Linked DNA regions of Coturnix japonica. The protein of the gene in region 2 interacts with the protein of the main gene of each other region in a biochemical or structural test. Links are inferred from orthologs where the notes say so. Each region holds a gene or a part of one and is shown on either strand. Other genes may lie near its edges.

Region 1 (10,264 bases), about 15 Mb from region 2:
GATAAAGAAGATGAACATTCATTCTGTATGAATTCTTACTTGATTCCTAAAGCTGCTGAGCTGAGAGTTGAATAAAACTGGATGTTTTGTTAATTTTTATATTCTTCCAAAAACTGCTTGTTTCTATTTTTTTATTGTTCTAAATAATAAACTTCAGTTTAATTAAATTCAGTATAAAAAATTGGCCTGTAACTGGTTATCTTACATTGTGAACAGAGTCTATTAACGCTGTATTTGGGGGTCTTATGTGTGATGAAACAGAGTTTTTATGCTTCTAGAAATATTTTACAGATTGAAACAGATTCATGAGAGATACGACCAGGAGTGTATTTAAGAACAGGTAAGCACAAAGCCTAGCTTGTTTGCCTTAAGTTCAGCTCGTGTGTATGCCCTGTTAGGTTATGAAAATTGATAAGGTGATGATAGAAAGCATTAGCATGTATGAAAAAGGCAACTATTCTCACCTGCATACCTACATAGATCTACAACAGCTAACAGTCATGCTCACAAGATGCTACAGCATCATTCCAGTGTGGCAGGCTGAGCAGTGTGTTGGAAGTCAAAGTACTTCATAATAAAAACTATCAGAAGCAGATTGAATTCAGGAAATCAAAGTAAAATGCTGTCTAGAACTAACAATGTAGATGGAAGCAGTGTAATGAGACAGAATTCTTGCAGTCAAGGAATGGGAGATGAAATTTCCTCCTTGAAATGCAGTAGTCTGTGGCACCGTGGGATGTAAAACACAAGCAAATTGAAGTAAACAGAAATGTGAAGCAATAGGAGCACTTTATTGTAGCTTGAAAATGTACAATAACAAAACTTAAACTCTATATTCTAAGAAGACTTGCTTTATCTTCAGAAGGATCTCCCTTTTAGAGAGGGAATTTCAAATACTTCTAAACTGTGTCAAAGTGAATAATATCTACTCTGCCTTAGAAATAATGTTGAAGTCTTCAAAACACTATGAGGAAACTGGCCTAGATCAAAAGACTCTGACCCTTGTGATTCATAGGGTATCTCTGTCCGAATGGGACAGACTCTTTAAAGTCTGAACTGTGGTAAATACTAGTATAAGAACCTGACTTGATCACTGTACCTTTTTTAAGCTGTTCTAAGAGTTGTCCTGCAAGATGGAAAGTATCTCACGAACGCCCTATGTTACAAGCTGTAGGTGATGGCTTTTGTTTTACTTGACAACTATTATCTGCTGACATCAGCAGCAGATTGACTCTGTTGCATCCGCTTCTTTTCACTCGCATTCTTTCTTTTCCACTTGAGTGAGGCCACCAAAACCAATTCCTTTGGGGCCAAAGTTCTTTGCGTAGCAAACTGCAAAAGAAAGGAAAAGGTAAAGAGTATTGTGAATGCTTCCCTAAGTGGCTTTTGTGATTTGTTGTTATCAAGCAATGCAGCAAGGCAAATCACAACAGCAATATTAGGTCTAAAAGGAATAATTCTTACCTTTACAGTAGAGCTCTCCATCTTTGTCTGTAACGTTTGTAGATTCCAAACTCTTTCCACAGATAGCACAGCGGAAGCATGTTTTGTGCCAAGGCTGAAGGGATGAAGATGGTTTGTTATATTACAGAAGATGCAGAGCTAGTGGATGCAAGGAACAGCTGTTGCTTCTTGTTGTGCGGTGAGGTTAATTTTGTCTTCCTGGGCTTACAAGTTCAGTACTTTTTAGATTAGTTTTAGGATCTTATTTAATGAGCTTCTTGTTGTTGGAACTCTGGTAAAAAGCAGAGAGCTGTAGATAGCGCTCTCCTTGGCCACATCATGGTGTGATAATGAGTAAGAGCTTCTAGAGCAGAGGGCCAGCATATCACAGTGCTGTTTTTTCTGGTCATAGGATCTCTTTAATATATCTGCATTTGCCCCTACAAATCAATGTTTAGATTATAACTGTCCCAAGAGATGTTATAGCAGGATGACAGCAGGAGCCAAAAAGGAAGGGTTGACCCTCAGACCTTAAGATGCAAAATGTTGTAGGCTTATGGAAAAGCATAGCTTCAATGTGACTTGAAATCTGACAGTCAGTACGTTGGATGTTTTGCTTATTCAACCTTATGTTTTCTTCATCAACCAGGCAAAATCTTCAAGGGTTATTAGTTATAGCTAATCAGTGTAGGGGGAAAAGGGTTTGTTTGTATTTTTAGTAACCTTTTTACTTACTTTTCCTCCTCCCATTATCTTCTCTGCAGCGTACACTGATTTGCCACAGCGGGGACATTTATCCACATCAACCACCTTCTTGGCAAACTTGGAAGGGTTAGTTGGTGTAGAAGGGCGAGCAGGCTTTGGTGATCCCCTAAAACACAAGTTTGCTGTGTTAAGGTTGGAAAAGACTGCTAAGATCAACAAGTCCAGCATGGAAAAGACACTGTTACAGAGTCAGGAAATCATTGTGATTGGAAAATACCTCTGTTACAGGGTACCTGAAACAGCCCTGAGTGACAGGTAGCACCAGGCAGACACATGGTGCTGCCATTAGGGTTGGACTCACTGTTGCAGGTTCAGGCCCAGATGGTCCCCAGTGTCAGTGCTGAGACATCCAGCCCCTTGTCCAAATCCAACACCTTTGGGGCCGTATTTCCTCCCGTAGCAAGTCTTACAGTAGATTTCAGATTCATGAGCTGCCACTGTGGTGCTGTCCAGAGCCTTCCTGCAAGCCACTGCCAGAAGGAAGAGAGGCATAAAGGGTAAATATCAGTAGACCTGGGGACAGAATGTGCCGTGACAGTGGCACGCAGTAGAGTGCAAGTTGTACCCTCTATGTCACTGCTTTAAATCTAGACTCTGGTTGAATGGACCTGAAGTCTCTGAGTGCGAGCAGCTGCTTGTCTTGGTAGGCATGTGTCCCTTATCTGAAAGGCATGGATGGCACGTGGAGCCAAGAGCCGTTGCTAAGGCCACTCTTATGTCTGCTGAGTCTCATCAGATGGGTATGGAAGGCAGGTTGATCTCTAAGTTCTCTGCTGTGCTTTGCAGATCTGAAACCTGATCTGCCTTCAATGAGTGGATTCTGTTACCAGGCAAGTGAGTCTCCTTGCTGCGTGCGCCTGGAAACTGAGACACTAATGAATGGGGAGAAAGCAATAGTGACGCTGTGTGTGTTTGGTGTCTGCATACACTGGGAGCTGGGAGTGTGGCAGCCCCCACCCCATCAAGAGAGATGCTCTTTAATTACAGAAGGCCCTTATTTGATTCCTTTTAAACATACAAACTGTGGTCTCTTCAGCTTTGAGATGGTCATTATGTTTGCTGTGGGAGTTAGAGGATGCTGGAAACTTGAGCAGTAAAGTGTTTCTATTTCTGTCATTGTAGGGATAGAGTATCAATTCACTGCAACAGATGGAGCAAAAGCCCTTCAAGTGCTATTGTTGAGATAGCTTTGGGATCTGCCACCTGCCAGCACATAGCTGGCACTGGGGGCTTTCAGGTTGATAGCATGAGGTCCCTGTTATATGTCCATCATGGCTGTGCTGTAAGTAACCTGACAGGGAAACGAGGTAGGCAAACTGTATGGGGACTAAGGTTGGAGGAATGAAATCCCATCATTGATTCACTGCAAAGCCCGTGAACGTGGTATGTGATGCTGAAGGATCCAGTACAAAGCTGCTGATCAGTGTTTGTGAATCAAGGGGAAAGCAAAGCCAATTCACATACCTGGTACTTACCAGCCAGGCTTTGTTGCATCCTTTACTTTTTGACCTTAGACTTCTGCAGGGGATATATTTCTACCATCCTCTATGTTGCTTGGGCTGTCTTAAGACCTACCCTAAACGTCCCATGAGCAAACAGGTTGAGTTAGGCCAACCGTGAGCATCTTCATTGTGTTTCTCCTTGGATGCAAGGCAATGCAAAAGGAAGCATTGCAGGCTGTAATGGAAATAGCTGAATTACGTGGTTTTAAACTTGCACTTACTGCAGAGGAAGCAGGTCTTGTGGAAACTCCTTCCATTGCACTGGATTTCCTCAGCGTGGTACACTGTCTTTTCGCAGGCACCGCATTTGGCCCCACCTCCCCAGTTTGGCATCTTCCTATGTGAAGGGTAACCTAGAGAATCAGACTTGATGAGTAAATCCAATAGAAAAAGGTGGTACTTAACTTTATTTCCTTTCAACTGCTATTGCCAGGTAGCCCCTAGGGAGGATCTGCTTCCTTAGCAATGGCAGTTTTCTCTGTCAGTGTGACATCCCACCATCCAGTTCATATCTGAACCAGTTCCACTGTGAAGCTGCACAGATACAGTGTGCTTACTGAGGATGCTGTCATGGAACCACGTTGGTCACTGAGCTTCGTGACTGCTGTTATAAAGTAGTGACCCCTTCCTAAGGGGCTTTTATTTGTCCACTGTTAGAAATCTAAAAGTCTGATGGTGAGAGTGTTGTGTTTCCTATTCCAGTGCCTATGGAAGTGACTTGCCCAAGGTCGTGTGAGGGAGCAGCATGAGAGCCAGCAGCTGAGCTCGGGTCACTGGACTGTGCTGGGTAAGTGCCCTGATATTGTGCTATCACGCAGCTGGAGCAGCCACAATCTGCGCTTTGCTCTTCTGGTTTGAGTCATTGTTTCTGGAAGGTCTGTGCCGTCATCTTGTCATCTGCACGTCCCGTTATCAGGATGTTGGAGCTCCTGGCTCAGGCCGCCTCTGTCCTTCTTGGAAAACCAGTCACTTTCTTATTATAGGTCTTTCAAAGTCCTGTTTGGATTTGATTAAACCCACTACGGGGTGTTCTGAACTAAGGGAAGGACTTTGAACTCTGGCTCAAGCCTGAAATTTTCTTTAGTTGCCATGTATAAGAGTGGGGTTTGACACAGCAGCAATGTAACATAGAAGCTACTGAAAGCAGCTTCAGTTTTACCCTGCCGTTAAGCTGTTTCAGACTCTATCAGTCAGTTCCCTCACTGCTCTGACAGCTGTGAAGCGCTAATGATGTGCGGGAGAGAAAAATCCAGCTTGCCTTGAGCTGTGCTTATCTGCAGTGGCAGAAATGCGATGGAGCTGTATGGAAGGAATGGGTTATGCATTTGTTTCCTTCTTCCTCAGGAATGCTGTGGAATAACACCATTGAAGCCTTTCTCCCATTTCTGATAGGGAGCCTTGTGCTGTTACAGGCTGTGGTTTATAGACCTCTTAGAAGAACCAGGGCTCTTGAGCTAATTATGGTAACATGACTGGGTGTGCAGGCACATTTTCCATGCTGCTTTGGCATCACCTGATGGGGAGCCATAGGAGTAAGTCACAGTGAAACCCCTTCTATGAGGGTCCTGGGATGTGCCCTGTAGTCCTGCTTTAGTCATAGAGTGAGATGTCCTGCATCAGTTATAAGTATAAAGATAAGAATTGCTTCTGTAATAGACAGCAGTGATGCCAAATGAAACGGCTGCTGGCACCTCTAAAACCCAGAATGTGCTGATGTTGGAACTAAGTATTTAGTTATGACTTAACAAATAGCAACAAACCGACCTAAAACCCACCCCTTTCCTCCCAGCATCATTTGATTCTTTTGGAAACCAAGTCCTGCAGCACAAAGGAGCCGTTCCTTTGTTCAGACCTAATGCTGTGCTATCAGCTTTGCCTCTTCTTCCACCACATCCTTCTCTCTGTGTTCCTGCACTGAGTCTAAGCCATCACAGCTGAGCTCAGGCACAGTATTCTGTACACGTTCGTGCTATTTCTATTGGGGAAAAAGACCCAAACCCTTCTATCAAATGCCAGCAGAACCCCACGTGCTGTACTTACGGTGTGGCTTGGTGTTTCTCCCTCTTCTCTTAAGCCTCAAAGGATTTGAACTGGAGGGGTTCCTGTGCTCTTTAAAGGCAGGGGCTGCCGCTGCTGGCCCTATAGGCAGGGAGGGGAGGGGAAAGAGGAGAGAGCTTTGGGGATCAGAGCAATGCCATTGCTATCACCAAGCTGAAAATAGCTGCTGACAAAAGCCTGGCATTTTGTTCCCTTGTGTCCACTTGTGAGTAGGTGGACAACAATGCGGCCCCTCAGATGACACCTACGGCGCATTCCTGAGCGCAGCCTAATGGATCAGAAATAAAGATGAAAGCTCGATGGATCGGTGCTTGGATGTGGAACATAAGGAGCCTGAAATGAAGGTTTAGTCATAGTCATGTTGCCAAAGATAATTTACCAAAACAGTGATAAATATATGTGTGTATATATATACATATGTGTATATGCAGGACTCCCTCCTGCTGGATACTGCCCTATGTGACAGTGAGTATCCCTCATTCAGAAAGCCAGATCAAGTTCTTTACGCCCCTTGCTGATTAAACACCATTTTCCCCTTCTATAGAATCCTTCTTTGACCAAAAAACCACCATTCAGCGTACGACATATTACAGCAACACCAGTCATTTAATTCCATTCAACAAAAAAAAAAGTCAAAATGAGTTGGATGCAATTTTTTTGTCTGAACAAATTATTTTTACAACGCAGTATAAATAATTCTTAACTTATATAAAAACTTAATTTTTTTTGTTAAAGATTTTTTTTTTCAAAGCTAACCTTATAAAAGAGGAGCAGCTGAACACAGGAGCACAAGAAATCCTAACTACGGCCTTTAAGGGAAGCATTAAATATGTACAGGCTCACAGTACTTTCTCTGTGCAAAACATGCACTGATTGATAGACGGTACCTTTCTGTACAGACACTTTCAGTTTACTTTGCATAGCAGAAGAGCAACGCAGAATGAGATACAAAACTCAGTTGCTTTAGAAAAGCCTTGTGTAAAAACACTTAGCCTGAACTTCCATAGTAAAGCCAGTTTGAATTCTACAGCGTTCAGGCTATTCCAGTATCGTTGTCTTGCCAATCACATCCAAAACACATCCCATGTGCATTGTGCTATATCAGTAATTACACTGCTAACACAGCCGGCGATTTGATGCCCAAAGATCAGTTTTCTGGCACTTCAAGTTTTCGTTGAGCAATGTGTGAGGTTCCTTGAGGGGTTGTGTCGGTACCACCTGAGGTTGCAGACAGTGACGGGGTTGTGTTTGGTCCTCCTGGTGTGCGGAAGAAGTTTTCTGTCACTGGCTGAGGCTCCGGGGCTTCCTTTGGCACAGGGGGCTAAAAGAAAAGGGAGAGATCAGTGTCAGTCCATTCTAGTTGTAGGTATGTGCAGAATGTTAGCAAACACATTTCTTCCTATCTATCAGCAATGTGGAGAAGAGCATCCTTTTCTTTGCTATACATCTATATACCCATATATATATATGTTAATAAACTGATTTGTTTTATCTCCTTTCACTTCCAACTGTAGGCAATTCAGCACTACACAAACAGCTGACAGAAGGCAACAAGCAGTTTATAAGCATGTGTCATTTCTTATCCAGCGTCCTCTCCAAGGCTCCTCACACCTTGTCATCCTTCAGTTCCTCCAGCTGGCTCCACTTTCTCATCAAGTAAGATATTATTATTTCTCACTCAACCTATGGTTTAGCCATTGCAATACGTTGCTTCTTACCTTTTCCTCTTGTAAGGTCGCGTTTTCTGAGCTACTACGATTAGTGCTTTCTGGTTTTGATAGGATTGGGATGTGCTGAAGAACGGGGTTTGCAGGGACTTGCACACCAGCAGGCATCACTCCTATGTGCTGCAGTGTAAAGTTCAGAAGTGAAGAACTTGGGTTTGGGACTGAACTGTTACTGCTAGAATTGAGGTGGGAGTTGTTCAGTACAGGTGCAGCAGCTATAGAAGCTGGTGACAGCATGATGTTCAAGGACGTTATATGAAAAGCCGGAATGTTAACTGCTTTCATTTCAGATGCTATCATTGGAATGACACCTGAAACAGAAAAAAACAAGCGTTGGAAGGATTGAAAATTGAAAGTAGAGGCCTTGCATTGTGATTTCACAGCTCTGGTAGGATGACTTTGACTTACAATCCTTCAAACCGAGCATCTGTGTGTATATATCCCTTGGTACTCACCTGCAGTGGGTGAGCTGTGGGTAGTGGTGTGCTGCACAGAACATATCCCAGCTTTCTCTCTATTAGAAAGAGCTGCCTTGTTGCTATGGTGAGTGCACTGAGTTAGAGGGATAAGGTACCCAGATGGAAAAAAGGTCTGAAAAAGACAATACACATTTACATCAAAGGTGCATGAAAAATATAAGCTTTTCTTCAAAATCACACTCCCCTTGCCGCTCTCTTATCCTATATCCCTCATAATCCCCAAGGCTTGGGATAGTCCATGCCTATACTGGCTCCCATCTGAAACTGGACTCAGTTTGACTCATAGCTGTGCTCTAAAAGTCCTCATCCACACAAGTCATTCAGCTTCATTCTCAGATACCCTTATGTGGATTTCTTTATTTTCTTTTAAGAAGAATGGTGGGTTTTACTGCATTGCTGGTGGACATCAAAGCATTGTGAACTAAATATTTATAAAAAACAGTCTAGGACAGTATGAGATCTCAGTATCGCTTCCATCTACTTAGTTATCTTCATCCTCTTCAATACCTTTATTGATGACCTGGATGAAGGGCATCGAGTGCACCCTCACTAAGTTTGCAGATAACACCAAACTGGCTGGGAGTGTGGATCTGCCTGGGGGTAGCGAGGCCCTACAGAGTCTTTTTTTTCTAAAGCATTCTGCATAGTAATGCAACTAAAGGCAAATCTATATATGTGTAGTGATTCCAGTTCCGTTTCCTTTGCAGATTGTTCCACGTGGTCTTTTCCCAGCTAACAGCAAGAACTGCTGTGCTGTGTGGCAAAGCTCACCTCATGAGCAGGAATGGCAAATGCTACAGGTAGGTCCTGTTTAGCTTTGGCTCTGTCCTCATCTTCTGGAGCACATTCTCTTTTGTATTGCTCAGAACAACTTTCCACGCTTTGATCTTCAGATCTGCTCTGTTTCTCTTCCTGGAAGTTGTCCATTTCGTTGTTGGTTTGTGAGCCGATGGAAGGTGGTCTTTCGTGTTTATTGAGTTCTCCCTTTAAAAGAAAACAGGCACTGTAAGAGGCACGGCTATCACAGTACATCTGTAATTAAGAAGGTCACATGTTTTATGAATCAGAAAAGCAGAGTTTCTCCTGATTTCATGGCAGTTTTGACAAGCACAATTTGAAGCAGCCTAATAATTTACAGACATGGAAGCATCTGGCAACTGAGGAGTGGAAAATTATCCAGACCCCGTTTCTTCATGTGCATCAAGTGTATCTGAACCTCCTATTCTCTTTGTGTATCATGTTAACTCCACATCATATTGACACCACCACTAGGTTATAAACCAGACAGACAGAAATTGACTTACCACAGCAGTTTCAAGGCTTTCCTCATCACTTCTACACTTTTTAATCAAGTTATTCTCTTGTAGTGCTTGAGATCTCTTAAGGCACCTCTTTGATGAAGACTCAGGCTCTATAACTGGTCTTTCTTCAGCTGCCGTGGCCTTTCCTGCATCAGCTGCGGCTGTGCAATTGTCCCCTTCCTTGGCGGTCATTTCACTTAATGCTTTTGGATGAATACTTTTAATTCCTGTCACATTAGCACACGGTAGAGGCTGCAACATGAAGCTTGGGCTGTACGCTGTCACAGCGTGGGCTTGAGAAGGATGCACATATACTGCATAGGAGGCACCAGAATGAGGCTGAGGTAGGATCACTGGTGATGCTGAGCGGTGGCTCGGAGGCAGGGCACCCAATGGCTGAGTGAGAAGCAATTTTGGAGGGGGTGCAGCAGTGTGAGTGTTGGCCTTGGGAGCTGCCTCAGGCCAGGGCAGACTGTGCTCCAAAGCAGATCCCAACACGTTATTTTTCATGTCTTTTGGTCTCCTTAAAACAAGAAAAAAGTCAAAATGCATAGTTTAGTGTTTTCATGCAGAAATGTCCTGTGTAATTATTTTTTACCTTACAAAGTCAGTGTGAATTTGTATGTCTTGATGAACCGAACAGAAAGCTCCAAGTGAAACCATAGCCAGGAGCAACAGAGGTTACAGGTTTTTGCAGATCACTGCCCAACTCAAATTAAGCAGAGATTGAACTTAACAGTCAGTGACAAAAAGCTTCCAAACATGACACTTGCGCAAACTTACTTTGGTGGTTCTTCCAGCTGATATTGAGGAACTGCTGCGAGCTGAGACACTTTACTTGTATAAGCTGATACGTTTTCATCTGTACCTGCTTCAAGGGAGAAAACAAAACCAACAGAACTGATAACGTATCCTAATGTTTAAGTGTAATTCTATCTTGAGTCTGCATTATTTCTACTTTGTTTCTACTAATTGCAGAGCTGATTCTC
Region 2 (10,264 bases):
GTGTGTGGTGCATGCTTGTGCATTCCTGTAGGCCAAGCTGGACTGCAGTCTGTCTTGCAGGATGATCCCTACATGATCCCAACTGGGATGGTTGTTGGGATCAACCCGATTTAAGAAGCAGTGTCTGCAAATGTTGGGTCAGCCTTGTGCCCATTCCTCTGCTCTGCCTGTGTCCCATGTCACCACCGAAGCAAAGCTCTGAATCCAAATGATGTCCACCTTTGAAATGTTTCCATGTGGCAGGGCTGTGTCAGCAATGTGCCATCCCCTTGATGCATAGAGTAAGGCATTTATTTTAAATATACCACCTCAGAAATAGACAGGAAAAAATGCACACATTTTTCTTACTTAAGTTGAAAAATAAATACAGCTGTGATTTAAAGGTATGTTTATCAGCACTGATGCACCTTGGCCTTACTCCAGTGGATTTCTCTCACTGACATCAGTGGGGAAAAGATGGGCTCTGCACAGTAAATCTAGGAATATTTTTTTCTTCTTTATCCATCCATCTATTTTGGGATGTGCTAAATGCTTGCTCTCTGTTGTAACATTAACATCAGTATGTGGAAACTTGGGTTGCTAAAATAAATCAGTGAAATGCAATATACATGACTTCACATAGAACTGCATGTACATTGTTGAGCACAAGCACTCTGTGTCCACTGTGCCATGCCAGCTGGACCCAGGGTGCTTCCTATTGTGCCCCGTGGGGTCTCACAGTGAGGCAAGGGAGAGCTTTGTGTTAAGGGTCTTCTTAGTTGAGTCTTCTTAGCTCCTGATCCAGCAAAATGTTTTTTGATTGCCATTACTATGGCTGTACATTTGAAGTAATGACACTTCCACCTGCCTCAGAGCAGGGGGATGGCAAGGTCTGTAGTACTTCTCAAAAGCAGCTTTTGTGCATGGGCCTGATTGTTTGCTAGAGGCAATGGAATTATCACCTGTATGGGAAGCTTTGATTTGTGAGGATCTGACTGTGTTTCCTTAGTTTTTGTGAGTTATTGACACTGCCTCCAGTTAGACTAAAGTGGGACTTTTTTCTGGTCTTAGCAGTTGCTCCTGATTCATGCTTGTATGAATTATAACACCGAAATTCATTTAATTCTTAGTTTTGGGGGGGAAGGGGGTGGGGGTGGGGAATGAACGCCAATAAGGGGAATAAAAAAAGGAAAAGCTGAACATTTACAAGCTGGACTTTGTTTTCTGCCCACAGCAAAGCTGGACTTTGTTTTCTGCCCACAGCAAAGCCAACAGGAGACCCTTACAAAGCTGGATGTTAGCTAAGGTGCTGAGGGGGCAGTCCTGCCCCAGCCTCTATGACCAGCCAAGTTCAACATGCCTGCACAGCAGCCCTGTGTCCTCTGTGCCCTCATTCATCATCCACCGTGGTCACCACTGCACACCACGAGGGAGCCCATGAGTTGCTTCTCTCTTTGAGGAGCTGCTCCTCCTGTTGAAGAGGTACAAGCTGCACAAATTCCTTCAGTACTAATCACCTAAGGGAGAATACAGTGACTGATCTGTCATCAAATGTTTAGAGCTGATGATGGTATCTGTTGTTTATTTGTTTGACTGTTCTTTAAACAAGAACCACAGCAATGTGACAAGGAGCAGGTTGTTGTGTGTGGGCTCCAGCAACTGGCTGTTCTAGTCCAAATGTACACATACACCCTGATACTTTCTTATCAATGACAATCTGCTTAGAGCTTCATGTTTTTCAGTTTTGTGGCAAGCTTGCAAGGTTACATGTATACACTGAATGAAACATACCCCACCAGTTATTTTTAGAAAGGCTCTAAACAAGAAGCAAATCCCTGGAGCAGTGCTGCCAGAGATGCTTAAAGTTCAAATCCAAATTAAAACTGCCAATCTTGGGCTTAAATTCCAACCTGAACTTGAGGAAAACTCTGATCTGTACCTTGAACTTTGTGACAGAAAGCTACTTCTAAGTCTTTTCTAGTACCTGAGTGTATATGAATATGGTATAGGCACTTAAAATTACATCTTGAATGGAAAATCTGTATATTTGATTGGGAATGTAGTACCTGATCTTGCAAAATGTCATCGTAAGGCTTTAACTTATAATTTAATTTATAGTAGCTACAATGGAATCTCGAGAGTCTAATTTATTAGGACTCCCACTTCTATCACAGCTTTGTAAGCTCTAGTCATGTAATAGTGAACTTGGGGGAACAAGACAAATATGCTTAATTTACCTCACAGACATTCTTAGTGAAGACCACTGACACATAAGACTTGGTTCAGAACTCACTGGGATACCACAGGAAGAAAGTCGACCCCTTTTCAGCAATGCCTTTGCACAAAGTAACTGAATGTAGCGCAGCTGAAGCAAGCACTTGATTTCTTTGCTGAATCAGAGCCTGTATCTTCTTCCTGCCAAGGCAGCGATCTTAACACTGCTCCTAAATGCACCAGTAACTCTAGAGGCTCTAATGAAAGTCAAGATAATGCCACAGATTTTATAAATAAGGGTCTTTATTTAGAATACTGTTGAAAACATTCTTGGCAATCACATCGTATAAATATATAAAGTTAAAGTTTGGCACAACAAACCAAGCAACATTAAATATATATTTTTAAAATTTTTCCTATTTTTGTTTTGTTTTTAATTTTAGCTTTTGTTTCATTTTTTCCCTTTTTCTCTCCTTTTTTTTTTTTTTTTTTTTTTTTTTTTTTTTTTTTTTTTTTTTTTTTTGCAAAGCAACTCTTATTTACAATTATACAAAAAGTTTTATAAAAAATGGTCCACAACCTTATTTTGGCCAGAACAGGGGTAATAAGAAGAAGGATCTGTCATGCCACAGCTGTTGTAGATTTCTCTTCTCCTCCATATTCAAGAGCCAGGTTCCTATTCTCCAAAGCCCAGATTAAACATTGGCCATTTCCCCGTATATGCTTTTATCTTTAGACATATTAAATAACTTCAGTTTAACAACCAATAAATAACTAAGTGTATTTTGCAGTAATACAGGTTTGAGAAGTTATAGAAGGAATTTTGCATGATACTTTCAAACTGGAACAAGCCATGAAGTCCTTTCTGTTTTAGAAAGCAGGTCTTGGAGCATGGTTGAACGGAGCAATTTGTTCTCGGCGCAGTCCGGCTGGACCTGCCTTTATAGCACTTGGTAGATTGGATTGCTGCTGCTGCTGCTGTCCTGGGGAAGCGGGGTGCAGTTGGTGGGGGAAGGAATCTGGGCTCCACTGTCATTCAGGCTTGCTCCTTCCTGGGGGGAACAGGGACTCCCTTCAGCAACAGCTTCAGCTGGAGGCAGTATGGGACATGTGGAGTTGTCTGTGGAAATCCTCTCCACAATACTTGAAAGGCAGTCGAGGCTGGAAACAACAGAACTCTTCCCATGCTTTGGGTCTGAAAACAAAGGCAAATGTGATCCATTTACCCACTGTGTACTTATATCATAGGATGTAGTTCTTTCATAAAGAAATGAAAAGCCCACTAAGTGGCTGAAGTGCACATCTGAGAGCATGCAAAGAATCAGAGGAAATGGGTATGAGTGAAGGATGCCAGTTATCAGGAAATGGATTGCAATCTGTGAAACAGAGGAGAGACCCAAGTGAAACAGGCTGCTATTCAGGGAGGGTGGATCCAGGGCTCTACTTCAGTCCTCAGAAAAGGAATGGAAGACTGGAATTCCATCAGGCATCTCTCCAGTTTGGATCAATGATACCTGGTTAGAACAGGCTTCAGGCAAAATGGGGTTAAGACTAAAAATCAGCAGCAGAGAAGGATGTGTTCCTAGACACTCTATTTGTAAAATGGGAAATGCAGATATAACATATCCCCTGCACTTGCAAATACATTTACATGAAATCCAGTGCTTCTGCCAGCCTCAGCAGCTCACTGGCTGGACAGGCAGGCTCCTTCCCCAGCCTGGCTAAGTGACTGGGGATGGAGAAGGCCATGGGGAGGCTACGGCAATGGCTGACCCCATCCTCCGTGCTTCACATAGACATATTCTCAACAGTAGATACTCACCATTTGGTGATTCTGTGTAGTAGCTGCTGTCATAACTGTTTCTCCTGCGAGAGCTGCAAGGCGGCCCGCTGTACTCCATCTGGAAAGGAGAATAATCTGAGTGAGGCTGGAGGGCTGCCTTTTCCACAGGTCCAGGAACCATCTGATCTTGTATTTCAGTAGCTAATCTGTGCAATCGCTCTCAGCTGAAATGCTGTCAAGTTTGTGTTGTAGAATGAAGCAGACAGAATTAACTTGCCAAAAAAAAAAAAAAGGAATGGATTTACACCAGAATGTGTAAATCCATGCTTGTTCCAAAGGCAAATTACCACCATTGCTATGACAGAAGCTGTGGCTTTACCAGAGATGAGGTTTTCCAGCAAACTCATCAGTACTGCCCTACGTGTATGGTCAGTTTAGGAAAGGAAGCTCAGGAGAGGAATTCTTTTGATCTAACTTTGGAAGACTTTTCCAAACCTGAGTTCCTCTGAGAAAGCCGCTACTCTACCTTTGGATTTCCTGCAGTTTCCCTTCTTACTCTGGTTTTGTAAAGAAAGACCGCCAAATCCTGACCAATATATTTCTGTTCAGTATGTGAATCTACAATGAAAAGGCTGCATTTTGAGGAGCGGATCTTTCTGTAACTCTCTCCCACCTGCCAACTATTTCACAGTCCCAAGAACTCAGCTCAGTGATTATTATCCCCACTAGAAAAAAAAATGCAGAAGTGTCCTTGTGGTCCTGTTCTCGGCAACAGTCCTGCAGCCACCCTTGTCCCCTCCCCATAACCCAAGGCTCTAAGCCTGGACTCTTTTTCTTGCTGGTAAATGTCTGCAGAGGGGTCAAGTGAGAGGAGAGCTGGCCTTCTTAAGGGTCAAGGAAAACAACTCCTGTTACTTGGGCCATCCTCCTGTTATCCCGATGAATGATAGAAAGCAAACACTATGCTTGACCAGTTGCCCTGCACGTTTTCCCCTGCAATTTCCACACCCAAGGGGACCTGCCTCACTGCTGTCCTTTGAGGGACAGACAGCAGAGCATGAAATCAGAGGTGCCTGGAGGCCATTGTGTTTGCAGGCACACAGGGACTGCCTAACCTTCCTCCCAGGAATCTAACAGACTTCCCTTCTCTTCCCAGAGACCTGGCGTGTGGGGACCCTGCTTCCCTCTGCTGCTGAACTATGAGGAGGAAGGACCTCATCTCCTGCCCAGGGCACTCACCATGCCATCGGAGCAGTTGGAGCGAGGGCTGGAGGCATCTGACTCCCCGCTGTAGTGCTCCAGCACTGGGTAGTACGCATCCTCCTGCTCGCGCAGCAGGGCCTGCAGGCTCTCGATGTAGCGGATGGCGTTCCTCAGGATCTCCACCTTGGGCAGACGCTGGTTGGGGTTGGTGGAGGTACAGCGCTTGAGGGTCTCGAAGGCTTCATTGACCTTGCTGAGCCGCCGCCGTTCCCTCATGGTGGCGGCTTTGCGGCGGTCAGCATTGGTGGTTTTCCTCTTGCAGGCCTTGCATGCCCACAGCAGGCAGCGGCCGGCCTGATGGTGCCCACTGGGTGCCCGCACATGCTCCTCCTCGTGTGGGTGCCCGTGGTGGTGCCCGTGGTGGTGCGGGTGCTCCTCAGGCTTCAGCAGCCCACCCACGTGCACCAGCCGGGGGTCCAGGTCCTCGAAGAAGTGCATGTCCGATGTGTTGAAGCACGGGTCATCGTAGAAGTCGTCAGCGGCCGCGAAGGAGCAGAGGGAGCCCTCCGTCATTTCCATGGGGCCCAGTAAGTCCATGGGGGCGATCGGGAATGCGGAGCGGGGCGAGAGGGTGGTCGGGGGGCGCGGGGGGGTCCCGAGGGTGTCTGTGCAAGGCAGGCAGGGAGTGGGGTCCTCGCACCCTGTCCCAGGCGAGGCCACCGGCGCGGGTTGTAACTGCTGGCACCACCACCACCGCCGACCCCTCCCCAGCCGCACCGCCTCGGGAGCGCCGCTCGGGGCCGTATTTATGCCGGAGCCCCCGGCGGGCCGGGGCGGGGCGCGGCGGGGCGGGGAGGGGGCCGCGGCTAACGGAGCCCCCGGAGCCTCGGCCCCCTGCGGGGGGGAAGGGGGAGTTGCGCGCGGCGGCGCGGGGAGGGCCGAGCGGCCCTCGGGTGCCGGATCCCCGCTCGCCGGAGGGACGGCCGCGGCCGCACGGTAACGGCGGGGGCGTCCGCGACGGAGCCGGGAGCGGGGGACGGCGCGACGAGCCGGGGCGGCGGGGCGAGGACAGCGACGGGGTCGGGGCTGCGGCGCGGCGCGGCCGCCTGCAGGGGGGAGTAGCGGCCCGCGGCCGTCGGCGGAGCTCGGGGAAAGCGGAGGGAACGGGAGCGAACCGCCCCGTCGGAGCTGCGGGAAGAGGCTCCGGGCCCGACGGGCGGCTCGCGGAGCGCCGCGTCCTTCGCCCCGCAGCGACGCGCCGGGGCTGCTGCCGCGTGCTTTCTGACGGCGCTCGGGCGCGTGACGCCGCTCGGGAGCTGTTCTGTCAGAACCCCAGCGGAGCGCCCGCACCACGAGGTGTGAGGATGGGGACGGGTGCCGCCATCGACGGGTCGTGCCCCGGAGCTGCGAGGGGTCGGGCGGGGCTCGGGCACGGTTATCGGAGCTTGGCCTGAGGCACGGGGCACCGCGACTGCGGGAAACGCGCGGCTCCTGGGCTGAGTCGTGCGGCCGTGGTTCTGCTGTGACCCACCTGAGTTACAGTAAGTGACTCTTTGCACCTCGGCTCAGATGTGTACGTTTGCGATTCAGGTTCCCCTTTGAACTCGAGGCTCAGCTTACCTTAATTCCAAAGCCTTTGAAGAGATTGACATTACGTCGCGAGTGGCATTGTGCCGCACGTGTAACCACACTGCAGTCCAATTGCTTGTGCAATAAGAGTGCAATAAGCTTTCTTGGGCAGAAAGCTGTGGCAGAGTTGGGGATATGGAAGAGTTGTGTGGCTTTGGTAACATCTCTCAAGGCTGCTGGAATCTGGGTTTGGAATATCACTTGAGCTGCAAAGTTCAGGTCTTTCTCCAGTACTGAAGTACTGCAGCACTTCTGCTGTGTGATTTCATTAACTTTATGATTAAGGGATTAATGGACACTTTTAATCTCCTGTTCTGCAGTTATAAATGCTGGTGACATTCGGACTCCTTTAAAATCAAAGACAAAGCTCGCTCTGCAGCAAAGCTGAGAGCATCTCAGAAGGTGATGGAACATCAGTTGGGTCCATGGTCCCGACGCCTGTGGCAGCTCAGATGGGCTGTCACCACAGCGGATTCTTCTGTTGTTCTGTCATTCAGTTTTTTATTGAGTCTAGATAAAGGTAAGAATTGTTAGTCACATTCTGTCATTACCCCAAAGATTTATTTATTTATTTATTTAAGTAGATGTTTTGGGCTCTGTACAAGTTTGTTCTTTCACTGTATCCAGAGCAGCTATTGATCAGCCCTACACATGCAGAAGTGTATCTCCCAGCTGTTCTGAGGCAGAGCAGCAAGCTCATGGAAACACTCCACTGTTATCATAGAGGCTCTTTGATCTGGAAGCAGAGAACAAGAATGTTTGTTTTAACCTTTATAGAACAGCTAAAGTAAAAATAACTTGTATTCAAAACAATGTTTTGTATACTATAAGACAAAACAAGTAGAAATGAGAAACATTGCATGGTTTAACAGCTGTGCATTGGCTGTCGAGCATTGGTGCTGGCCTTGCTGACCCACTCAAAACAATGGAACTTTGCTCAGGTCATTGGTTTAATTAGTGGAAATGCTAATTTTGCTAATATTTACTTAAAGCTACAGCGTCATCTGCCACTGTGAGTGTGCATCTAGGTTGTATCTGACCCCAGGAAAAGGCATTTGAGGACTGGCACGCGCAGTGGTTAATTTGGGCAGAGTGGCAACAGATGGTGAGACTTGGACAGGCAATACTGGGAGTCTGCCAGTAATTGCCTATGAATGCTCGGAAGTGCATGAGCTCACCTAAGTGGAAAAGTCAGGAGAAAGCCATGACCAGCTGGTGAGTTCTGCTCAGAATTGTCTTGCAGTGAAGCTGCCCTTGAGCAGCTTCAACTTGCTTTAGCAGGGGGTTGGACTAGATCATCTCCAGGCCCTTCTGGCCTCTGATTCTGTGAGGATGCGTTCCTTGCAGCTGGCACCAAAACTCAAATTGTCTTTCTAGCATTTTGCCCAAGGATAGTTTTGTCCGTATAGATGTTATGGGCCAGAAACAAGTCTTTGCAAAGAATAGTATTGCAAGATGCTCTTCTCAATTTTGTGCGGCCAGAGAAGAGGAAGGATATGGCACTTGAAGAGACTTGAAGTGAATTCCTCACTCTGATTGCAGACAGCAGCTATCTCCCTTTCCATACAACCACAGGAATTTCTTATGGCAGCATTTAGAAATGCACCATTTTTGATTCCTGTTTCAAAGCCTCTGTTGCTGTGACTCATAATTTTAAGTAAAGAATAGGTCTCTTCAGAGCTTCCAGTTTGAATGCTATATTTACTGCAGCGATGTTTCTGCAACTGTTCTGGATAATTTGGGCTTTGCTTTGTAAGAACAGATACGGAGTACATGTATGACAGCATTCAGCAGTGGAAGAGTATCTGTACAGTTGCTTTAAATGCTGTTGACTTTATACCTGTTTGTTTCACACTGATCCTACATCTCATTTTGTCAGGGCATGGTTGAAATGAAGCTGAGAAGAGAGTTGCAGGTTGTACTTCCTGCACTGCGAAGCATGGAGAGGATCATCCTGTACACAGTGGATGGGTTCTGCTGACAGAGATCACAGACACACATGCCTCACAGCACAAGCGTCACGTGGACAAGAAAAGCTTTGGTTATCTACAGTAACTGATTTTTTCTTTTTCAGAGGATACACTGGGAAAACAGCTGATGGTGAGATTACCTAGAATTAATAGAACTGTCTCTTCAGGCAGAGTCCAGAAAGTATGTTGGAAGAGAGAGAATAAAGGCCTAAAATCTGAAAAAGTACAAAGATAAAGATGAGAAGAGTCTCTGAGAAGCACATATGGCAGTATTTCTGGGGAAAAGAAGCAGCAAGTAAGTCTTACATTGAAAAGTTTAAATGTTGGGCTCCTTGTTCTGTTTGAATTCATTTAAGGTCTTCAGTGCTTGAAACCAATTCCTGTATTGTAGGCTAGCAAATCTTAAAGAAGACTGTTGTATATCAAACATTGCCTGTACTAGCTATGTGGCACTAGCTAATAACCCAACTAGCAGTTTTTCTCCATTCATACTTAGTGAGCTATGTATTAATACTGAGAAGAACGGATTCCATTGCTCTTATTCATGTTGAGTTGCAGTCAGTGGAACTAATTGTTGAATAAGGTATGCTCAGCGTGAAGGTGGGTGTTGGAATCCGGCCCAGATGGAAATATCTGTTAAACTACTGCTGTATTTGAGAGCAGCCACCCCAAACAGACAAATCCAGCATGTTGCTAAAAGCTTTTCAAACCATTCTTGTGGCACAATGCAGTATTTTTGCTGGAGAATACAGGAGATGTTTTAAAGTAATTTTCCCCAACTAAAAGACAAAAAAAAAAAAAAAAAAAAGTTGAGTCATTGCACTAGAAAGATGGGGAAAGCATCAGTGCTGTAATCATCTGTCATGTTGCAACACTAACAGAAATTAAGTGCTCTAAACAGCTTTACAGAAATGGGTTATTAACTGCAGCGGTGTAAGGGAGTCACAAAGCACTTACTGAAAGTGTGTTATTGTGCTTCTTTGTCACCTTAATACAGTCTTCTGGCATTTATTTTCATTCTGTGGTCTACTGCTTTCATCTTTAAATTCATCTGTGCAACTTTCTCGATCACAGCTAAGTACTGGTGTCATTTCATAGACGCACACAAAATCTCTTGGAAAGTACTGTCACGCTTGTAATATAAAATGAGGAATACAGCATAAACGCAAAGTACCATTTTTTACTATGGAACTGAATTTATTTTCAAACATTATAGAAACACTGTCTGTAATGTTACATAAAAGTAAGAATCTTTCAAGGAAGCAAACCCCAATTGCATAAAAATGTGGTATATAACATGTAAAACCCAATGCACAACCTAGCTGCAGGCAGCTGAGCTAGCCAGCTGGTCTTCCTAGGTGATCCTTGGTAGCCAGTATAGAGAAAGAGAGGCACTCCTGTAGGAGGTGAATGGAAGGAATTTAGAATCACAGAATATCCAGGGTTGGTAAAGACCCACGAAGATCATTGAGTCCAACTCCTGACT

The links.
Region 1: the proteins of MYOD1 (region 2) and CSRP3 form a complex in vitro, tested with the Homo sapiens proteins (2 studies listed by BioGRID and IntAct, with this or other methods). The link is inferred for Coturnix japonica from reciprocal best matches to the Homo sapiens genes MYOD1 and CSRP3.

The regions. Positions count from the first base shown.
Region 1 is NC_029520.1:1,434,740-1,445,003, forward strand, and holds CSRP3 (cysteine and glycine-rich protein 3), read right to left. Parts: upstream 5,875-10,264; 5' UTR 5,751-5,874; intron 4,064-5,750; 5' UTR 4,044-4,063; coding exon 3,932-4,043; intron 2,679-3,931; coding exon 2,510-2,678; intron 2,315-2,509; coding exon 2,179-2,314; intron 1,559-2,178; coding exon 1,465-1,558; intron 1,333-1,464; coding exon 1,253-1,332; 3' UTR 771-1,252; downstream 1-770. Other genes in the region: palmitoyltransferase ZDHHC13, read left to right, coding at 1-31; transcription factor E2F8, read right to left, coding at 6,916-7,089, 7,487-7,806, 7,951-8,086, 8,746-8,958, 9,279-9,798, 10,059-10,146. UniProt on the Homo sapiens protein: Positive regulator of myogenesis. Acts as a cofactor for myogenic bHLH transcription factors such as MYOD1, and probably MYOG and MYF6.
Region 2 is NC_029520.1:16,194,469-16,204,732, reverse strand, and holds MYOD1 (myoblast determination protein 1 homolog), read right to left. Parts: upstream 5,949-10,264; 5' UTR 5,777-5,948; coding exon 5,216-5,776; intron 4,095-5,215; coding exon 4,016-4,094; intron 3,389-4,015; coding exon 3,135-3,388; 3' UTR 2,694-3,134; downstream 1-2,693. Other genes in the region: uncharacterized protein LOC107314671, read left to right, coding at 9,016-9,073. UniProt on the Homo sapiens protein: Acts as a transcriptional activator that promotes transcription of muscle-specific target genes and plays a role in muscle differentiation. Together with MYF5 and MYOG, co-occupies muscle-specific gene promoter core region during myogenesis.